3 linked regions of the Struthio camelus genome follow. The protein of the gene in region 2 purifies or fractionates together with the protein of the main gene of each other region. This does not show direct contact. Links are inferred from orthologs where the notes say so. Each region holds a gene or a part of one and is shown on either strand. Other genes may lie near its edges.

Evidence for each region.
Region 1: the proteins of PSMA3 (region 2) and PSME1 purify together in Homo sapiens (affinity purification with western blotting; 4 studies listed by BioGRID, with this or other methods). This does not show direct contact. The link is inferred for Struthio camelus from reciprocal best matches to the Homo sapiens genes PSMA3 and PSME1.
Region 3: the proteins of PSMA3 (region 2) and PSME4 purify together in Homo sapiens (affinity purification with western blotting; 3 studies listed by BioGRID and IntAct, with this or other methods). This does not show direct contact. The link is inferred for Struthio camelus from reciprocal best matches to the Homo sapiens genes PSMA3 and PSME4.

The regions. Positions count from the first base shown.
Region 1 is NC_090970.1:244,244-251,360, forward strand, and holds the start of PSME1 (proteasome activator complex subunit 1), read right to left. Parts: upstream 3,079-7,117; 5' UTR 3,014-3,078; coding exon 2,999-3,013; intron 2,823-2,998; exon of another isoform or gene 2,464-2,822; intron 2,400-2,463; exon of another isoform or gene 1,864-2,399; intron 914-1,863; exon of another isoform or gene 884-913; intron 865-883; coding exon 769-864; intron 1-768. UniProt on the Homo sapiens protein: Implicated in immunoproteasome assembly and required for efficient antigen processing. The PA28 activator complex enhances the generation of class I binding peptides by altering the cleavage pattern of the proteasome.
Region 2 is NC_090946.1:78,226,900-78,234,626, forward strand, and holds the start of PSMA3 (proteasome subunit alpha type-3), read right to left. Parts: upstream 3,088-7,727; 5' UTR 2,906-3,087; coding exon 2,885-2,905; intron 2,138-2,884; coding exon 2,055-2,137; intron 967-2,054; coding exon 843-966; intron 1-842. UniProt on the Homo sapiens protein: Component of the 20S core proteasome complex involved in the proteolytic degradation of most intracellular proteins. This complex plays numerous essential roles within the cell by associating with different regulatory particles.
Region 3 is NC_090944.1:119,473,595-119,481,363, reverse strand, and holds the start of PSME4 (proteasome activator complex subunit 4), read right to left. Parts: upstream 3,095-7,769; 5' UTR 3,038-3,094; coding exon 2,859-3,037; intron 1-2,858. UniProt on the Homo sapiens protein: Associated component of the proteasome that specifically recognizes acetylated histones and promotes ATP- and ubiquitin-independent degradation of core histones during spermatogenesis and DNA damage response.

The sequences.
Region 1 (7,117 bases), on a different chromosome or scaffold from region 2:
TGCCCCATAGAAGCCCCATAGGGACCTCATGGAGCTTCTTCTGCCCCATAGAGACCCGCTGGAGACCTTCTTCTGCCCCACGGAGACCCCATAGAAACCCTCCTCTGCCCCATAGAGACCCTCCCCTGCCCCATAGGGACCCCATAGAGCCTCCCCTGCCCCATAGGGACCTCATGGACCTTCTTCTGCCCCATAGAAACCTCCTGGAGACCCTCTTCTGCCCCATGGAGACCCCATTGACCCTCCCCTGCCCCATAGAGACCCCATAGACCTTCCTGTGCCCCATAGAGCCCCTCCCCTGCCCCATAGGGACCCTAAAGACCCTCTGCTGCCCCATAGAAGCCCCATAGAGACCCCGTAGACCTTCCTGAGCCCCATAGGGCCCCTCCTCTGCCCCATAGCGACCCCAAAGACCCTCTGCTGCCCCATGGGGCCCCCATAGATCCCAGCCCCAGCCCCAAAGACCCCGTCCCCCGCCCCACAGACCCCCCCCAGCCCCACAGACCCCCCCCAGCCCCACAGACCCCGCCCCCTGCCCCATAGATCCCGCCCCCGGCCCCATAGATCCCACCCCCGGCCCCACAGACCCCGCCCCCTGCCCCATAGATCCCGCCCCCTGCCCCATAGATCCCACCCCCGGCCCCACAGGCCCCGCCCCCAGCCCCACAGACCCCCCCCCAGCTCCATAGATCCCGCCCCCGGCCCCATAGATCCCACCCCCCGCCCCACAGGCCCCGCCCCCGCCCCACAGGCCCCGCCCCCCGGCACCTCCAGCAGCGCCTGCAGCTCGGCCACCTTGGCCGGGAACCCGGCGCCCAACAGCGCCTGCACCTGGGCCGCCAGCCGGGCGCGCAGGGCCTCCTCCTGCCGGCACCGCGGCTCTGCCCGGACGCCTGGGCCCGCGCCCGGACGCCTGGGCCCCGCGCCCGCGCGCCTGGGCCCCTCCCCGGACACCTGGGTCCCTCCCCAGACACCTGGGCCCCTTCCCTGGACACCTGGGCCCCTTCCCCGGACGCCTGGGCCCCGCGCCCGCGCGCCTGGGCCCCTCCCCGGACACCTGGGTCCCTCCCCGGACACCTGGGCCCCCTCCCCGGACGCCTGGGCCCCTTCCCCGGACACCTGGGCCCCTTCCCCAGACGCCTGGGCCCCTCCCCGGACACCTGGGTCCCTCCCCAGACACCTGGGCCCATCCCCGGACGCCTGGGCCCCTTCCCCGGACACCTGGGCTCCTTCCCCGGACACCTGGGCCCCTTCTCCGGACACCTGGGTCCCCTCCCCGGACGCCTGGGCCCATCCCCGGACACCTGGGCCCCCTCCCCGGACACCTGGGCCCCTTCCCCGGACGCCTGGGCCCCGCACCCGGACACCTGGGCCCCTTCCCTGGACACCTGGGTCCCTTCCCTGGACGCCTGGGCCCCTCCCCAGACATCTGGGCCCCCTCCCCGGACGCCTGGGCCCCTTCCCCGGACGCCTGGGCCCCTCCCCGGACGCCTGGGCCCCTTCCCCGGACACCTGGGCCCCTCCCCGGACACCTGGGCCCCTTCCCGGACGCCTGGGCCCCTTCCCCAGACACCTGAGTCCCTTCCCTGGACACCTGGGCCCCTTCCCCGGACACCTGGACCCCCTCCCCGGACACCTGGGCCCCCTCCCCGGACACCTGGGCCCCTCCCCGGACACCTGGGCTCCTTCCCCGGACGCCTGGGCCCCTCCCCAGACACCTGGGCCCCCTCCCAGACACCTGGGCCCCTTCCCCGGACACCTGGGCCCCCTCCCCGGACGCCTGGGTCCCTTCCCCGGACACCTGGGCTCCTTCCCCTGGACTCCTGGGCCCCTTCCCGGACGCCTGGGCCCCTCCCCGGACACCTGGGCCCCTCCCCGGACACCTGGGCTCCTTCCCCGGACACCTGGGCCCCACTGCTACCCATCCTGCACCCTAGATGCCTGGGCCCCGCCACTACCCACCCTGCAACCCGGACACCTGGGCCCTGTCACCCCGGACACCTGAGCCCCACAACAACTCGCCCTGCACCCCGGACGCCTGGGCCCAACCACAACCCGCCACCCGGACGCCTGGGCCCTGCCGCAACCCACCCCCCGGACGCCTGGGCCCCACTACCCAGACACCTGGTCCCTGCACTCGCCATGCACCACCCCGGACACCTGGGCCCCACCACCCGGACGCCTGGGCCCCACGCCCACCCTGCACCCCAGACGTCTGGGCCCTGCACACACCCCGCCACCCGGACGCCTGGGCCCTGCCACAACCCGCCCCTCCGCCCGGACCCTGCACCGCCCGGACGCCTGGGCCCCACTGCAACCTGCCACCCGGACGCCTGGGCCCTGCACACACCCCACTGCCTGGACACCCGGGCCCCACATCCACCCCGCTGCCCAGATGCCTGGGCCCCACATCCACTACACCCCGGACGCCTGGGCCCCACATCCGCCCCACCGCCCAGATGCCTGGGTCCCGCTGCCCGGACGCCTGGGCCCCACTGCAACCCACTGCCCGGACGCCTGGGCCCCACTGCAACCCGCCACCCAGACACTTGGGCCCCACACCCACCCTGCACCCCGGACGCCTGGGCCCCACCACAACCCGCACCCCGGACGCCTGGGCCCCACATCCGCCCCACCACCCAGATGCCTGGGTCCCGCCACCCGGACGCCTGGGCCCCACTGCAACTCGCCACCCGGACGCCTGGGCCCCACCACCCCACACCCCGGACACCTGGGCCCCTACGACCCCCTCAAGCCCGGACGCCTGGGCCCCTGCCCCGCCCCTCTGCAGCCTCTCTCTTCCCCTCCCCTTCCCCGGACGCCTGGGCCCCTCCCCGTTCGGACACCTGCTCCCTCTCCGCTCCCCTCCCCCCCCCCAACCCCGGCCCCGCTCCCGGACGCCTGGGCCCCCTCCTTCCCTCCCCAAGCCGAGCTGCCCGGACATGCCCCGGACGCCTGGGCCCCCCCCCGGCCCGGACGCCTGGGCCCCCCCCCGGACCTGCGGTGCAGCCATGGGGGCAGCAGCGAGAGCGAAAGCGAAAGCTCGGGGGTTCCCCGCGTGGGGGGGGGGGGCGGGGCCAGTGCGCCCCGCCCCCCCCGGACGCCTGGGCCCCCCCGGAAAAAAAAAAAAGGGGAAAAAAATTACCCGAAACCACCCCAAAACAACACGTTTTATTCCCGGGGTTCCCGGTCCAGGTAGCGGGGGGGGGGGCAGTCCCATCCCCCCACCCCAAGCCGGACGCCTGGGCCCCCACCTCACCCGGACGCCTGGGCCCCCCCGTCCCCGCCAAGGGGCCTGGCGGGGGGGCAGGGGGGGCCATCGCTGAGATCGGCTCGCCCGGACGCCTGGGCCCTTGCCGGGGCATGGCCGGGGTTTTGGGGGAGTCCTGGGACGCCCTCCCGGACGCCTGGGCCCCTCCGGGAAACGTGGCTGCCCTGGGCTTTCGGGGCTTCCCAGGACACCCTCCCACCCCTCCCGGACACCGGGGCCCCTCCCGGACGCCTGGGCCCTTCCCAGATGTACGGGTAACCCCATTGCCTGGGTCACCCGGACGCCTGGGCCCCTCCCGGACGCCTGGGCCCTTCCCAGATGTACGGGTAACCCCATTGCCTGGGTCACCCGGACGCCTGGGCCCCTCCCGGACGCCTGGGCCCTTCCCAGATGTACGGGTAACCCCACTGCCTGGGTCGCCCGGACGCCTGGGCCCCTCCGGGACGCCTGGGCCCTTCCCAGATGTACGGGTAACCCCATTGCCTGGGTCGCCCGGACGCCTGGGCCCCTCCCGGACGCCTAGGTCCTACCCAGATGCCCGGGCGCGCCTTGTTGCGCGTAGGGTCGCCCGGACGCCTGGGCCCTTCCCGGACGCCTGGGCCCCTCCCGGACGCCTGGGCCCTTCCCAGATGTACAGGTAACCCCATTGCCTGGGTCGCCCGGACGCCTGGGCCCTTCCCGGACGCCTGGGCCCTTCCTAGATGTACGGGTAACCCCATTGCCTGGGTCACCCGGACGCCTGGGCCCCTCCCGGACGCCTGGGCCCTTCCCAGATGTACGGGTAACCCCATTGCCTGGGTCGCCCGGACGCCTGGGCCCCTCCCGGACGCCTAGGTCCTACCCAGATGTACGGGTAACCCCATTGCCTGGGTCACCCGGACGCCTGGGCCCCTCCCGGACGCCTGGGCCCTTCCTAGATGTACGGGTAACCCCATTGCCTGGGTCGCCCGGACGCCTGGGCCCCTCCTGGACGCCTGGGCCCTTCCCAGATGTACGGGTAACCCCATTGCCTGGGTCACCCGGACGCCTGGGCCCCTCCCGGATGCCTGGGCCCTTCCCAGATGTACGGGTAACCCCATTGCCTGGGTCGCCCGGACGCCTGGGCCCCTCCCGGACGCCTGGGCCCTTCCCAGATGTACGGGTAACCCCATTGCCTGGGTCGCCCGGACGCCTGGGCCCCTCCCGGACGCCTAGGTCCTACCCAGATGTACGGGTAACCCCATTGCCTGGGTCACCCGGACGCCTGGGCCCCTCCCGGACGCCTGGGCCCTTCCCAGATGTACGGGTAACCCCATTGCCTGGGTCACCCGGACGCCTGGGCCCCTCCCGGACGCCTGGGCCCTTCCCAGATGTACGGGTAACCCCATTGCCTGGGTCGCCCGGACGCCTGGGCCCCTCCCGGACGCCTGGGCCCTTCCCAGATGTACGGGTAACCCCATTGCCTGGGTCGCCCGGACGCCTGGGCCCCTCCCGGACGCCTGGGCCCTTCCCAGATGCCTGGGCCCCTCCCGGACGCCTGGGCCCTTCCCAGATGTACGGGTAACCCCATTGCCTGGGTCACCCGGACGCCTGGGCCCCTCCCGGACGCCTGGGCCCTTCCCAGATGTACGGGTAACCCCATTGCCTGGGTCGCCTGGACGCCTGGGCCCCTCCCGGACGCCTGGGCCCTTCCCAGATGTACGGGTAACCCCATTGCCTGGGTCGCCCGGACGCCTGGGCCCCTCCCGGACGCCTAGGTCCTACCCAGATGCCCGGGCGCGCCTTGTTGCGCGTAGGGTCGCCCGGACGCCTGGGCCCTTCCCGGACGCCGGGGCCCCTCCCGGACGCCGGGGCCCCTCAGCGGGGCTGCAGGCCCAGGCCGGGGCGGCCGGGCGAGCAGGGGCAGCGGTACCAGAGGCGGTAGGTGAGGGCCCAGGCGGCCCAGCCCAGGCCGGCGCCGGCGGCGTTGCAGGCCCAGTCGTGCCGGTAGGCCAGCGTGGCCGCCAGCAGCCCGTGCCACAGCAGCAGCAGCGCCACGTTGAGCAGGAAGAGGAGGCAGAGGGCCGTGCCCGGACGCCTGGGCCCTTCCTCCTCCTCCTCCGCCTCTGTTCCCCGAACGCCCGGACGCCTGGGCCCCTCGGACTCCTGGGCCCCCCACAGCTGCCCGGGCCCCTCGGACTCCTGGGCCCCCCAGGGCCAGGACGACGAGATCGCACCCGGACGCCCGGGCCCCTCGGACTCCTGGGCCCCCCAGGGCCAGGACGACGAGATCGCACCCGGACGCCCGGGCCCCTCGAACTCCTGGGCCCAGCGGAGCGGAGACGAGGAGCCGAAGCCCGGACGCCTGGGCCCTCGGGGAAGCTCGCGGACAGGGAGCAGCAAACGAGGAGCCCAAAAGGGGGCGGGGGCCCGGGCAGCCGGACGCCTGGGCCCCGGCGGCGGGTGCAAGAGGCGGCCCAAGGCGGCGGCCTCCTCGGCCAGGCCCAGGCCGCAGTGCACCAGGGCGAAGGCCTGGGGCGAGACGGCGAGACCCTCCCAGCGGTGGCCGCCGGCCCGGCAGGCGCCGGGGTCGGCCTGGGCCGGGGGCGGCGGGAGGCCGCGGCGGCGGGCGGCCGGCAGGCAGCGGCCGGTGGCGGCTTCGAGGGCGGCGAAGAGGCGGGGGGCGGCGCGGGCCAGGCCGGCCGCCACGGCCAAGCGGCCGCCGGCTCGCAGCAGGGCGCCTCGGCGGCCGCCCCCCGGCCGGGCCAGGGGCCAAGCGGCCACCAGCAGCCCCCCGGCCAGCAGGGCCGTCCAGCCGCCGGCCGAGGCCACCAGGCGCCTGCGGGAGACGGGGGGGGGGGGGGGGAAGATGGCGGGTCGGAGTGGGGAGATGGTGGGGGGGGGGGGGGCCGGATGCCTGGGCCCCCCTCCCCTGGATGCATGCTTCCCTTTCCCGGACGCCTGGGTCCCTTCCCCGGACGCCTGGGTCCCTCCCCGGACACCTGGGCCCCTCCCCGGATGCCTGGGTCCCTCCCCGGACACCTGGGCCCCTCCCCGGACGCCTGGGTCCCTCGCCCGGACGCCTGGGCCCCTCCCCCGGACGCCTGGGCCCCTCCCCCGGATGCCTGGGCCCCTTCCCCGGATGCCTGGGTCCCTTCCCCGGACGCTTGGGCCCCTTCCCCGGATGCCTGGGCCCCTCCCCGGACACCTGGGCCCCTTCCCCGGATGCCTGGGCCCCTCCCCCGGACACCTGGGCCCCCTCCCCGGACACCTGGGTCCCTCCCCCGGACACCTGGGTCCCTTCACCGGATGCCTGGGCCCCTTCCCCGGACACCTGGGCCCCTTCCCCGGATGCCTGGGCCCACTCCCCGGACGCCTGGGCCCCTCCCCGGATGCCTGGGCCCCTCCCTGGACACCTGGGCCCCTTCCCCCAGATGCCTGTGCCCCTCCCCCGGACGGCTGGGCCCCTCTCCCGGATGCCTGGGCCCCTCCCCGGACACCTGGGTCCCCTGTCCCGGACACCTGGGCCCCTCCCCGGACACCTGGGCCCCTCCCCAGACACCTGGGCCCCTCCCCGGACACCTGGGCCCTTTCCCCGGACACCTGGGCCCCTTCCCCGGATGCCTGGGCCCCTTCCCCCGGACGCCTGGGCCCCCTTCCCGGACTCCTGGGCCCCTCCCCAGACACCCGGGCCCCTTCCCCGGACGCCTGGGCCCCTCCCCGGACACCTGGGCCCCTCCCCAGACACCTGGGCCCCTTCCCCGGACACCTGGGCCCTTTCCCCGGACACCTGGGCCCCTTCCCCGGATGCCTGGGCCCCTCCCCAGACGCCTGGGCCCCCTTCCCGGACTCCTGGGCCCCTCCCCAGACACCTGGGCCCCTTCCCCG
Region 2 (7,727 bases):
CTTAATCGAGATTCTTACTGAATGCTACGTACTGTTACAGAAAAATCCAATCAAGCTTTCCACCTGTTAACAATTAAAGTGTATGAACATGGTACTGATTTTCCTAAAGAAAAACTCTATACTGTACTAACACATAAAGTGAAGTCATCTTCATGTTAAATAGTGTCTTATGATTTACCACTAGACTATGTTAACATCAGCAATATGAAAAAAGATAACCATAGCAATGTAGCATTCCTTTTCTGTTTTGTATGATTTTTTTCTGGATTACAAGCAAACCCGACTCCCTTCCCAATACTAGCGATGTCGTAAGTAGGTATACTTTCAGGCATTTCTGTCACACAGAAACCACTATTTATGCAGACATTACTATTATAGATTAGCCAGTAATCTATAAAATCTACATGGTAGCCCTTACAGAAGTCAGTTGACTCCTAGATCATTAAGATGGAAAAGAGACTCTTGTACATAAGTGACATGGCATAAGTAGGTTTTGCTTCTTAACATGCCTTATTTGTTTACCGAGTTAACAAAAGACAACTTTAACACCCTATTCAAATTTGAATAGGAATATTAGCACAACTTCTTCAAATAAATTTAGAATAGCCTCAAAATATGCACCTATCTTCTATTTTAAATTCATATTTTACTTCTAATAAACGTACGTTCACACACAACCAAGAGTAAGTTACACAAAACAATCTAAAAATCCATTGGCATTTCTGACTATGTGTGTAGAAAAAGTTATATTACTTCATCTATTCATTACTGATTCTCTGATCCACATGCATCTACTTCGGGGGGATTCCTTTGTGAAAAATTAAAGTTAAATAGCACCTCACCATTCCAACATGTCGATCAACATTAAAGAGACGTTTATTGGAACCTTCTTCATAAAGCTTGGACAGAACTAGTTTTTCTACTCCAAACACAACTCCATCTTTACACCTTATCCCAATTGCTGTACTGAAAAACAAGATCAATGCAAGTTTCACTTACACAGAAGTGCAATGGATTTAGACGTCAAGGTAAATAACAGAGAGTTAACAAAATGCTAAAAATAATGATTTATTTTCCACAGAAGCAGATCTATGGTATGATCTAAGTATGACTCCATTTTAACATTGAAGACAGGGGTGGAGGTGGGAGCGGGAAGCTCACTAAACCTGCAAAAACGTTCTTACGTGAAGGTGGAGGGGACTGCCAAGTCCCTGTCCAAGTAATTCTGGACAAGACGACATGCAGTTGTAGCACTGTCTTGGAGAAGCACATGCCGTACAATACTAATATGAAAACAAGGGACTGTTTAATCTCTCCTCTTTGGTAAATTTAGGATCTAAGCAATGTGACAGTCTCTAACCTCCAAGAAGGCATGATCAAGCATAAATCACCAAACATGACACAAGCTGTACCCCACACAAAATACTCTCACTAATCCTTAGTAGGTAGCATGCGCTGTGACCAGACACCCGTGTTGATCTTGTCCATGCCCTGCTAATCCATCTCACTTTTGCTACTAGCAAGCACAGCTGGGATTTTTGCTTTACAGCTTTCCTTTGCCTGAAGGAAGACACATATTCGTAGGAAGCAGACATTATTGCTTTAGAGTGACATACATTCCTCAAGAAACTGGGAATAGCCAAATGATGTTACTATAAATTTATGAGGCCTTGAGCAAGTCACAGTTTTCCAGTGCCTCAATTCACAGCCATAAAATGGACTTTTAGGTACTTCTACACCTGTATTGCCATAATAGCTAAGCACCTTACACATACTAATGAGTCCTGCGATCCTCTTTTATTGCCCTTAACACGCACGAGTAAGTATACTGCTTGCCTTTGTATTCTCAGCAACATTATCTCTGTTTCTACCACACTGCAGAACAAGCAGAAGTGGTTATATGCCTTTAGATTTTATTCCAAACCTCTTAACATGAGGATAGGGACAGAGCTGCTCAAAATTACATTATCAGAAGAAGTTATATCTGCAAAGCCATCGTTTTTATTTGTTTAAAGAGATGCCAACTAAGAAACAGATAGATATTTGTATCTTACCTACTATTCTCCACAGCTTTCATAGCATATTCAACTTGAAATACTCTGCCATCTGGAGAAAACGTGGAAGCTGACAGGTCGTACTGAAGAAGAAAACACACTACTCAGCCAAAAAGCATTACATCCCACAGTTTTTTTAATGCCCTTTTTCAGAGTAAGCCTTTTCAGAACAGGTCTATTTATTTAAAATTGCAAGACTGTCATTTGCACGACAGCAGCGTGTATTAAGCACCATAAGCAGGCTGTTCTCTCACGTTAGGTGCATGAACGGCAACAAGCAAACGCTGGCTAACAACTACAGAAAGTCGCTGCATCCGCGCTAGATACACTCATACTTCTAATCCGCTCGATCCAGACACCCTGTAGTTCTGAAAGCACAGTACGTTTTGCCGGACCTCTGCCAGGCCGGGAAACCCGCGCGGGATCCGAGCGCAGGCGCCGAGAGGGGAATCCAGCAGCTGCGCAACACGAGGCTCGGCTCCGCTTACCGGCTCCGCCCCGGGCCGGCCCTGAGGCGGCTTCGCCCCCACCCGCCGGGCGGGTCCCCCCGGGCCGGGCCGGGCCGGGCGCGCTCACCCCGCCCCCTCACCGGCGGCTCCTCCCCCCGCCTCACGCTTTCCGTTTCCGCGGCCTAACGGGCCGCAGTGACTCAGCAGCGGCGGTGACGGCGCCTCGGGCCCGCGCAGGCAGTGACAGGCCGCGGCGGCGGCCGCCCTCGCCGGGAGCGGCCGAGGGGGGCAGGCTGCTCGCCCCCCGCCCCCCCCCCGCTGACACAAAGCGGCCCGGGGCGGGTGAGTGAGGGAGAAGGACAGGACGGGGCCCGCACTCACCCCGGTGCCGATAGAGCTCATGGCGGCGGCGGCGGCGACGCGCTCGGTCCAGGCCGACGGGGCCCCCTCCCGCCGCCGGCTCACTCACGCTCGCTCACGGCCCAACAACGCGCGCTCCCATTGGCCGGCGCACCGGCCAATCAGCGTTCCCCTGGAGAGGGCTTCAAATCTCCCTTCGCGGAGTGGGCGAGGGCAGGCGGGGCGGGGCTCCGAGGGAGGAGCCGCCCGCAGGCTGGTGACGTCAGGCCGCTCGGCACGCGCGCGACCGTCAACTCGCCAAGAGCGCGCGGCGGGAGCGTACCACAGCGGCGCCCGGCTAGCTCAGTCGGTAGAGCATGGGACTCTTAATCCCAGGGTCGTGGGTTCGAGCCCCACGTTGGGCGCACACGTGTTTTTTTTGCCCCAGCTGCCGGAGAGTTTCGCGCTGGCAAGTCTGCGGGCTGGGGGGGACTCGCTGCGCTTTTAGGCTGCCGCTGTGCGGGGTGGCTGCTGGGAGGGCTCCCCCGGAGCCAGCTGCGTCATCCCTTCGTCCAGCGGCCCCCTCACCTGCTTCCCTGGCACTTTTTCGCGGAGGCTGTTTTGGGGCCCCAGAGCCTGGGGGTGGAGGCACGCGCGTCTCCCCCAGCCTCCCGTCCGGGAGGGAGCGGGGTGCTGGGGAGCCCGGGAGCTGGTCTCCCTCCCTGCGCCGGCGGGATCGGAGCGCGCCCAGGAGCTCGGAAAGGCAGCGCATCCGGTGCGGTCATGCTGCACCGAAGTTTAGCGGCGATCGTAATAAATGCTGTACTACTTGGACGGTGCGTTTAGGGGAGGCTGTTAAAGCCAGTCCCGCTAGAGACCGTCCTCCCAGCTTTGAAGACTTTCCAGTCTGGCCCAGTTCCTTCAAGCAACCAGCTGCCCTCAAACCTCGCCTGACCCAACCTCCCAGCACGGAGCGGACCTCTCGCACCAGCCAAACGAGCCCCGCTCCTTTCCAGGCCTCTCTCCTGCCTGCAGCCCCGCACGCGCGCGCCCACGTACGCGATCCGAGGGAAGCGAGCCGGGGATAACGCAGCTCTCGGGCGCCAAACGCTCCGCGGAGCAGAACGCGCGCTCGGCCTCGCCTGGCTGCGGCAGCTCGGGGCCGGGTCAGCTCCCGCGCAGGAGGCCCCGTCACCTCCTCGCTACTCTCGGCGTGACTTGGCTCTAGTTATTCGCTTGGCTGAAGCGAGACATCCAGAGCAGCATCCAGACAAGATGTGAGAACTTCAGGGGGAAAAAAAACTCCATTTACTCCAGCCGTTTATTTCTATTACTGTCTTCCCTGCTAAAACGTTTAAGTTCTACTCTGGATTCGTCTGCCCGGAGGATCCACGTCACGCCAGGGAGGGAGGAATTGTCACATTTATGCTGAGGAAAAAAAAAAAAGCGAAATCCTTCTCTATATGATAAAACATTTAAGATGTGATCTGTAAGGGCTGTGCAGGACTAGCAGTTCTGAGAAGCAGGGAATAATCTTTCCTTTCCCCTTCAATGACATAAAAATCCTGTTTCTATGCTTAGTGGGTCATGGGACTCTGGTTTAAACCTGCCAGTGCTGTAGGACTTAAAATTTCTAGTTGTGCAGTTTGTGCAGTGATGCAGAAATGCTACAAGAGCAGAGCGGGCAGAGAGAAGATGAGGTGGCAGCACATGCAGGGCTTGTGAAACTTGTTGGGATGTGCACGCCCAGCAGGTACAGAAATACCACTGAAGACGTTCACACAGCCGAGAGAATGAGTAAGAATATTGTGAATTTCCTTGACTTCTACCTGCTGCAGTTCAGGAAAATTAAACCATGTTAACACCACAAGCGCACACTGTGTAGGACTCTGATCTTCCCCGTACGTTCTTCAGAATGTATGTCATGAGGCTGCATCCCAATTATTCACATTATAAATGAAAATGAGCAACAGAACTTGGGTCTGAATGTTCTCTGTCCAGTTCTAAGGATGGCTCTACGCACCCCGCAATGAAATAGCTCCTTTCCACAAAGTCTGTAATCATATCACAGCCTGGGAACAAGTTTAAGAGCAAGGATGGAGCAGGCTGGTCTCTACAACTGTATTTTTACTCATGTGCTCCTTTAAAGCAGAACTGTTGCAATCATAGGTACTTTCTGAAGTCCCTCAGGAGAATGCTGATATCCCAAACACCTGCCACAGGCTGCTCCAGACTGCTCAAACATCATGCACTAAGTATTAGGCCCATTAATTTCTCCCTCATTCAGTCCTCTAATGAGAGGCAGACCTCACTCAATGGTTGTCTTGCCAGAGTAGTTGGATTCCTGAGCCTGCTGCCCATGCCTTAGGTGCCCTGGGAGGAAGCTTATGGCACAGTACTGCAGCGGAGCAGCACAGCACATAGCAGGGCACTGCTAGAGGGGACACTCTTGAGTCTTGCCTGCAACACAGTAGTCCTCGGTCTTGCTGTAAGGGAGGTAAAAAGGGTTTGGTAACAGAGAACATGATAAAGTGGAGTTCGACTAAAGGCCCTGAATGCACAGAGGAATAAGGGGAATGCTGGTATTTGAGGAATCCGCCGCTGACATCCTCAAGGATACTAGACCATTAAAGGATCACAGGCTTAGAGGAGTGGAGCTGAAGTGAGTTGGAACAGGCTGTACAAGGGGCATCAGCAATGGTCAAGAATGACATAAGGAGACAGAGAGCAAAGGCAAGCAAGAACAGAGTAACTCTCAGACTTAAAAGAATGCTGAATACCAGACACAACGGGCATACAGGTATCTCTAGTGTTTAACCCATTTTTCCAAGTCCAGGCTAGAGCCTGACAGAGAGATCATAGTCTATGCTGAAGAACCCTGTTTCTGTATCATGCCATACCATTAGCGGCCTCAGGTTGCTGCAGGAAAGTCTTGTGGGTGGTAATCACCATCTATGGAAAAGGTTTAATCTGCAAACCTAGAGACTGTTTGGACTGCATCAGAGCCAAGAGGCGGCACTGGCCGGGCCCAGCGCGCTTGGAGGACTCGGATACGATCGCTAGAAGAGCAAACTCATCCAGGGACTATAAAATACCATAAATCATTAACAACTGCTCACAGCTATGTTTGTTTATTTTTCCATACTTTCTGTGTAACAGCCAAGCACCTGATTTGAAGCTAACATACTAGGAAGAAGATGATTAAAAAATATACCTGCCAACACCACTGGAGGGAAATCATCTGGGTTAATCCTATCAGGCCACTGTGAGTTATCAGCAACATCTCACATATGACAGAGTATAACACTTTAAGCAGTGATTCCTGTTTTTTATTTAAAATCATTAAGATAAAAGGGAGCATCTACTATCATTTGTCAACTAACACCACATGCGAAGGTACAGCATTTGTGAAAGAGAATGACAAACGAGAGCAGAAGCTTATTTAAATGCTACAGCACGCTGCCAGAGTTAAGTTTCACCACAAGAATCTTTCTTTAAATATATGCTTTAGAACTGTGTTTCAGGAACCACAGCAGGCAGTTAGCAGACAGCATGGGGAAATCAGCCATAAAAGGTGTGACATAATCAGATTCCAACCCCATCCCAATAATTTTTTTTACTCACGCACACACACGCACACGCACCACAAAGTTTTGAGCTAAGTAACACCTCCTTGGGCAGGATTTAAACCTCAGTAACCACCAGGCAACAGCAGGGTCACCCCTTTGTTCAGTATGTTCGGCATACTGGCGGCAAATTTAGTGGCCTTCCGAGGCCAGTGGAAATGCCTGTCCCAAGAAGCGATGTTGCTGAGATGCACTGGCACCGTCTCAGTATCCACTGGCAGCCACAGCTGTGCACGCAAAGTTATTTAAGGCAGCATCATGAAAGGACAGCAAGAACCATGACAAACCAAAATAGCAGCTCTAGCAGAAGAATTTAAGCGCGTATGCATGTTTTCCCATCAGACTGTTCCTTCTTCTTCAATATGTAACGTCACAGCATTGCTAACAGCCTTTTAAATAGCCTATAGTTCCTAATTATAGTGTTAATATCCAAATGTACACTTTTTTCTTAAACGGTGAACTTATTAGCTTTAAGAGTAATTAAAATGCAGTGCTGAACTCTACAAGCCTGCAACTGTTTCAGCACTCCCATGGAGACGCGTGAAAAAAAATTATGTTGCATCAGCAAAATAAGGAACTGGCCTCCTTATCCCAGGAGCCGAGAGTAAAATACTCACTTGATTTCCTATTTAGAGCATTAAGTGTTTTACTGCTTTTGGGCTCCATATCAATAGCTATCGCACAGTAACTCTCAGAGCTCTGCTTTGTATTTTCATTTAATAGACACTGCTGCAGGACAATGAATTTTAGTATTTTGACGGGGGAGAAGGAGGAGAAAGAAGTGACTTCTCAATGTGACATTTCAGTAAGAAAGTCAAGTTCTCCTTGCACTCCTATTTATAATTATTTAATGGTTGAATCCTTTCTTGGAGCAGAAATATTAGGAGAGTTGTTAGCTCAGCACCGTGCAACAAGTTAAGGTAAAAAAGTCCTCTCCTAACTCTCCGAAAGCAGGACTGTCTAGGAAAAATAATGCCCCAGTACTTTTTGCTAAACAGCTCCAAACCATTTCCTACAGGTTCTCATACGTGAACCAAATGATTTCATGGGTGAAACATTTTATGCAGAGTTTGGCAGAAAAACATCCAAAGATGTTTCTTGCAGTAGACCGTCCTTCAGTCTTCTAACCATATTTAAAATAAAAATATCTTAAAACAAATTCTCTCAACAATGTAATTTACTGTACAGATAAATAACAAACAAATCATTAGGTAACAGCTCATGACTACATATCATTTCCTCAGAGGAGGACAAAATAT
Region 3 (7,769 bases), on a different chromosome or scaffold from region 2:
AACTGAAATATTCCTGTTTTTGCAGAAGAGAAAGTTTTCTTACCACACTCTGTATAAGCACTCCAATGAAAGACTCCATTTACATCACTGAAAATTATGCATACAAGAACAATTATGCAAATTAACTGACAGACATTATATCTAACAAATCCCAGTTTTAGACGTCTTTCCCTACTCAATTCACGACATCAGACAGCTGAAGCAGCTGCATTTAAGAAAACTACATGTAAGTCATGTTCTCAGCTGTTGCACTACAAGAAATAACAAGATTTTTGGTTCAGCTGTCATCATGAAACAGTAACTCGTATAAAAAATTCCCATTTTGAGTTTTCACTTTCATTCCTCATACCTCCAGAGTCTATGCACAGCTGTATAAAGTTGCAGTGTACCTGAAGAGGTAGAGCTATACAGGTATATAACCCATGCATGCTTTTTTTTTTTTTTTTAATTCATATGTTTGCATATGTTACATTGTCTGTCTATATTAGCATTTTTATCTGAACAAGAAAGATTCAAGACACACCAGCCATAATTCCAATTTATAAATTACTTCACAGAATATTATAAGAATACTGACTTTTAAAATATAGACATGTAATAAACTAGGCAGAGATCTTATGACAATTCTGATCATTTTCAGGTTAAACAAATGCACAATTTATTATAGCTGGCTAGCATGAAAAAAGGTATAAAGTTGACAATGAGATGAACTACTTACTACGAACAGATAATAAAGCTCTGGTTTTACTGTCATTATGTTATAATTTGACTTAGGCATGACAAATCAGAACACCATATTTGTACGTTTTGGAAGTATTTCATCTAGAGCTAAACTTTTACTGAAATATTTTATCCCACCAAACCGTTTTGCCAAATTAAACTGAGCAAGCAAAATATCTCTAATGTTAACTATACTAGCTTATTTTAAACCAACCCCACAGTTTTCTTCCCTGCCTACATCCAAACGTATTCAGTCTTACTGCATGTAATATGCCACAAAGAAGTCTTGGGAAAAACAGGCATCAGACAAGTTATAAAACACACACAGTAAATTTAAACTTCAAAGAGTAGGTGGAAAACCAGAAATTAGAGCCTCTGCCCTTTTTGTGATTCATAAAGTTAGCATAGCAGCTGTTCTCAACAGGTTAAATTCACTGCCCTGAAGCCTAAACTGATAACAGTAATTACAGTTTACAGAATGACTAGCAGGTTAATTCTAACCTATACCCGCACATCTTCAAAGCAGGTAACCGCAGGAGTTACTACCCTATCTAAGGTACATCTTTCTCTTACTAAGCACTGCTACAGTTTATTTCAGCTTGATTAGCATATGAAGTTCTGCCACAAGTCCAAAGACAACAGGCATCACTGTAAACGGCATGAGCTAGCAGATGGCTACGGAAGGGGGGGGGGGGGGGGGAAGAGTACTGAACTGGGTCCAAGCAGGTTCAGATCGTCTCTGAATGTAAACATGTGAGTCATTTCGCAACTATCAATGTAATTCTATCTAAGAATGCCTCTTGGCAAACATAAGGTCACTTACATTTCAATACATGTGTACCAACCAGATTTTTGACAGCCAGATATTTATTAAATTCCCAATACTTAAAAAAAAAAAAAGAACCCTACCTTATAGAAGAAGTAAAACTGCAAATGAATATAAATTCTACCAAATGCACGCATTCTGCCATTTCTAGCTCATAGAAAACACCAAGTATGAAGGGACACAGAACGTTCATCAAGAAGAGAATATTCAGAGGAATAAGGTGTGCCGATTGAAACTACAGCAGTCATTTGACACCATTTTTTAAGTGCCAGACTGGCCAGAATAGCACATGTGAAGAAAAAAAAAAAGGGTAAGTAAGTCTTGTAAAATTTACTAAGAGAATTCCACACTCTGCTTGGTATGAAAACACTGTGTTTTCAATCTATATAAAAATCATCTTGTCAGCACTCACATTAGAGCCAACATAAACTGCACCTTGCCACAGTACAGGCAAGACATAGAGGCATTTTTTTTAATTATTATTTTAAACTAGGGCACTAATTTTGTTAACCCAGCAGCAAAACCAGAATTTAATCCTTCCAGCGCCGAACTAACAAAAGCACAAGCAGCCTGTTTTCAGAAAGACTTCATGTTCCTACCGCAAAAGTTGTGAACAGAGATAGTATCTTCCGTAACTTGCTTGAAACGGCAAGAAAAGAAACAGGTGGTCAAGCGCGCATTTAAAAAGAAAACAGCTCGATTCATACAACTCGGAAAGCTTCTAAGACGACAGAGGAGCTCTGGGAAACGAAACCACCTTTGTCCCGGTTTCCCGTTTCGGAGCACTGCGTGGCCTTGTGCAAGAGGCCGGCTGAGCCCGCCTCGCTCCGGCCCGGAGGCCGCGCACCGCTCAGCGCACGTACCGCAGCCCCCCCCCCGCGGCCCTCGGCGCCCCGGCAGCGGCCGAGGGCAACCGCCCCGCTCTCGCTGGCGAGTAACCGTTAGGAAACCAACGCGCTTCTGCCGAGCGCCGGCCCGCCCGGCCCTCAGGCGTGCGCCTGGCCCGCCGGGCAGCCGTGAGTCACCCCGGCTTCGCCTCACGGCGCCCGGCAGCGCCCTCGGGCCCCGCTCCGCGGCGCTTCAACCCGCGGCCTGAACCTGCGCCACCCCCGACCGGGCCCCCGCGGGCAGCGCCGTTATCAGCGGCCCGAGACAACGGCCGCCGGCCTTGGCCGCGCAGCTCCCCGCCAGGGGCCGGCCCAGCCGCCCGGCTCGCCGCGCTCCCACCCCCGCCGCTGCCGACCCCTGGCGGCAGCGGACCGGCCGGCGCCGCCCCTCACGGCCGGCGGGGGCCGCTGAGCCCCGCACTCACGTGGAGAGCTTCCGGGTCCAGAAGAGCCCGCCGGGCCACAGCTCCTGCAGCTGCACGGCCCGGGCCAGGTTGCCTTTGATCTGAGCGAGGAAGCGCGTCGCCTCGGCCTCCAGGCAGTCCCCGTACGGCAGCAGCTTGTTGTACACGATCTCCTTCTGCGGAGCCGCCGCCGCCGCCATGGCCGGCGCTGCGCTGCGCTGCGCTGCGCCCTGCCCCGGCCCGGCCCGGCCCGGCCCCGGCTCGGCCCCCCCCGGCGAGTCGCCCAGCGGTGCGCGGTGACGACACAGCCGAAGGAACGGCCGCCGCCCCGCGCCGCCGAGGTCACTTCCGGCGCCGGAGTTGGGGCGGGGGGGGTCCCCGAGCACGGCGGGGAAGCGCCGCTGCTGGCCGGACACCTGCCCTGCAGCGGGCCCGGGTGGGCGGAGCGCGCGCGCAGGGCGGCCGTTAACGGCCGTGCCCGCCAGGAGACCGCGTCCCGCGTTACCGGCTGCGCTGAAGCCGCCTGCGCCGGAGTTGAGGGGAACCGGGCGGCGGCGGCGGCGGCGGGGGAGGGTCGTTCGCTGGATCATCTGGCGACCTGTTGTTACGTTTCGGTTTCGGCGACACCACAGGCGTTGCCTGGGGACAAACCTAGAATTAACGAGAACAAAGCTCGTGCTTTGTACCGTTTCATTTGTACTGCCCTTTAGTTGCTTTAAGCAGCATCAGTTTTCAAGAGGTGCTGTCACGTTTTATTCTGGGAGCCTACCTGGGCTTGTTCGCTGCTCTTTTCCTGTGTCAGTAACAGTGGCACAGCAATTCGGTAAGTTAGCCTGTTTGGGGTATGCTTTTCCTTACTATCCACAGTCAGCACTTTCCCTCTGCCTCTGACAGTTGTGCCGAGCGGTAGCTGTATCTCCTAATTCTGTCAACTAGGGACAAATGGGATATCCAAATAACCTGTGGCAGACTCAAGAGAACTGGGGCAAAAGGGGTGGCTGTAGTCAAGATACTGCCCTAGGCACCGAAATAAAATGACTTTGTGGAAAGGCCATAACTCCTACCCAAGTTTAGAATTCACTTTTTGTGGCTTTGTGGTTTATTAAAGAGCCCTTTTGTAAAGCTGCTCTGATCCCAACATAGAGATCATAATAAAAACATTCATCTTTCAGTTCTCTTCTAACTTCTGCAGTTTAGGACAGTTGGATGCTAGTTGTTCCCAAACGTATTTATTTTTGGTTAAAATTGGGTATCCAGATCCATTACATTAGCAGTTGTGAGCTAAATGCATGCTCCATTACTGATACAAACTGTATAAACTACATAAACCTTTTCCTCACAGGGGCTGAGATTTTCACAGTTAGATGTCTGAGTACCTTGGAGACTGGTATTTGACAGCCTTTAAGAATCTGCATATAAACTGCTGAGAGTGTCAATACCTGCAGTCTGATCGAGAAGCAGGGAGACTTCTAGAGGTCCGAAGCCATCAGAGCACAGTGCAGGTGATCATAGAGATTTGATGCTTAGACTTGCATAATAGCAGAAAGTTGTGTTTCTGCTGCCCTGCCTTCTTGTTCATTATGTGCTAAAAGAGGGTGTATAAACGTGGAATGAGGATGGACTTCTTCACTGGCGATAATCAGTTACAGAGTTTAGTAGCAGATTCTGTAACTGTCTGTTAAAGATATTTATTTGAAATAATAAGGCCAGTCAGTAAAGCGGAGCTCAGCGGTGCCTGGTCCTGCCGTTGACTTCTATGGGTGTAGGATAAAGCCTGTGATGGATATATGATAACAGTACTGATGGTTGTTATCTCCAGCTGTCTCCTAAATATAATTGTTAATTGAATTTCCCCTCAAGAACTACATCATGACTATACAACAGCTGCAAGCTGATTAGATTTAAAGCTGCTGACAAGGGCAAATCCTGTTTTCTGATCTTTATACTCAGATTAGCTCTGCTTAATTTTTTTTTTTTTAAATGGCTAACTAAATGCTGAAGCATTTTATAATGAGAAGGAAAGCCACAGAAAACCAAAGTAAGATAAGCAAAGGCTGTGATGCTCAAATATTCCCATGGCATTTTCGTGAAGAAAATATTTACTCCATATCCTTATACGACTTCTGTCTCAGATATTATTTTTGTTATCAGTGCAGAGCAATACTAAAACTGTGCAGCAGGAGATGATCTCGTGTTATATTCATGTGTCTGAAGAGTGACACTACTTTGCTTTACAGGGGTCAAGTAATAATCAGTGCTATAATGTTCTTTTGGAGAAAAGTACTAGTAAATCAGCATTATATAAATATGGTTTTACCAGGGGCCTAAAGGTGGTTCTATGCTACTCCATAGCTTTCCTATCATGAATTTTTCCCGTAACGTTTTGGGAAAGCAAAAGTTTATAACCACTTTTAGCACACCGAATTACTCCTTTTTTCAAAGCTTTAGTGAAAGTCATTATTCTGCATTATGGGCTGAGACTAGGATAAACAGATACTTTGCTAATTTCGCTTGACTAACGTATTAGAAGGGGTCCAGCCTTTCTGAACAGATACTGAAGAAACAAAGTTAATTCTACCTTTTCTCATTTTCCTAGACCTATACCTTTAATAGGGAAAATATGACAATTTTGTTGTGTGTTTAATACTTCTCAAATATCTTTCAATTCCTAAAAGATTTTGTGTCACCTATGTCTATTTTTACTATAATTTTAATTGTGATTTGGAGGGTATTTGTTGACATCTTTCATAGTGGCTTTAAAATTAGATTCTTTTGCCTCATATTTACGCTATGCAGAACAATCTATACATGAATTTGTGTTCAGGAGTTAAAAAAAATGAAACTTGATGGTCAAATTTCTATGTGGACAACTACGTCTTGTTTATTATTTTGCTGGTAAAAAGAGGAATAAACAAAAGGTGTATCTGAACACCATGAAATAAATGGTTTTATCATAAATTTAGATAAGAGTCAATTGATTAAGTGGCTCAGAAGCTGAAATTAAAAAAAAAAATCCATGGTTAAGGGTAAGTGAAAATGTCTATGGAATATTCTAAATGTGTCTTGAACCTAAGAAATCTGAAATTACTTCTTTTCTAACATTTACAGGCAAATCTTTTTTCCTACTCAGTTGTGATAGTGGATTGTCCAAACAGCAATTTCCAGTGTGGAAAAATGTTCATTACATTTGAAGAATGACAGAGTTTATTTAGACTTGGAAGGAAAAAAAAAAATCAGTTATAGTCCAATTTTTTGAAATTGAAATCGGCAGATATGTAAGGAACTTCAAAGCTGCATTCTGTTGCTTCATCTCTACATTATCACAAAAAACTAGAACTGTAGATATTCAGGGAATATCTGAATATGTAAACCACAGTTTCTGCCCTTTGGGCCTGAGTTTAATTTTTCACACTTTTCTAGGTGTTTTTCAATTTGAATAAACATTCCCAACCTCAGGGAGCTCATTTCATCTGAACCAGCAGACCTCCACATCTGTGACTGTTTTACCTCAGACACGCAAGTGCCTTCCACTGGAATTAAACACCTACCTTTCAGGAAAGATTGTGCGAAGTCAACAAGATCATCACATTAAAGTCATCATGCTAAATAATCTGACCCTCTCATTCTGAGAAATATGATTCTTGTTTTCAGAATCTGCAATGAGGAAAGAGATGATTCTGAGTCCGTTTGTAATTACATACATAAAAGCATATATATAGTACTTGTACTTTCCAACTATTTTCTGTATATTGATTAATTTACTAATAACATTTGTCAATTTAAAAAAAATGAACCATTTCTTTCCCCTAGTATGCTAACATTCTACTGTTTAAAAGGAGAAAAACAATGCGTTTTACAGATATGTTTTACCAAGTGAGTTAAAAATAAATTTGTTCTTCAAGTTTGCAATGTGTTTTGGCTGTAGCAGTGAGTAAAAGCACATTTGGTTCCCGAGTCAGATGATAAAGAACTAGCTTTCACAACAAGGAATCCGTCTGTGCTGCTTGCATCAATAGCTTTTTCCTCTCTTACTAAGTAGGAGGAATATGAATTGAGAGCAAACTAAATATGGTTGCCACCTGCTGTTTTTGGCATTAAATCTTGAGATTTGATGAATCCAAGTTAAGTGTTGAAGTTGTGAAAAAAATACAGTCTTTCCATTCATGAGAAATTTCAGACGTTAACAGGGGCTTATGTCAAGTTGCACATTGTTCACACGTTCCCTTGTTGGATGGCTTGCTGCCGTAGGTCAGCTAACACCAGCACTGTCATCAGTATTTAGGAAACTTGTCACTCAGCCTGAACTGTGGTTTCTACTATCTCATCTTTCAAGCAACTTCTTTTCCCACGTGGACGTTTTGTTTAGTGACCCATCTGTCCTTTCTGACCTAAGTTAAGAGTGGAATTTGGTGAGTGACAGGCTTCTGTGTATTTTGCAATTTGGAAAATAACACCCAATCCAACAGGATATGTCCTGGTCCGTGACCCCCATACCTCAGAGAACCCCACTACAAAATACAGTAGCATAATTTGCTTTCTTCTTTGAAACAGAAGCGTCCTCAGACTTACTCTTATCCCAGTGTGTCTCAGTCGGTCTGTCATCCAAAGCAGGTGGTGAAAGACTCCAAAGACCCTGAAGAAGCTGCTGCCATGCTGCTCACCAACTTTCAGGCAAGGTGGTAGTAACTTACTTTCTCCAAGAATAAGCATCTGTAAGTACTGCCTGCAAATCTTTACCCTAACAAGGGCATTTTAATTGCAAGGAGCTGCTCCCTTTCAGGATGGAGACCTGAGTCTGTAATTACTGCCTGCTCTGGAAGGGTATGCTCCCCTGCCTCAGGGAAACTGAATTGCTGCAAGGATTTAAAGGCGGAACCAGCTCCTTGGCTGGTGTAAACACTAAAGAGCAGTAATTACAGCTGCTCCTCTCCC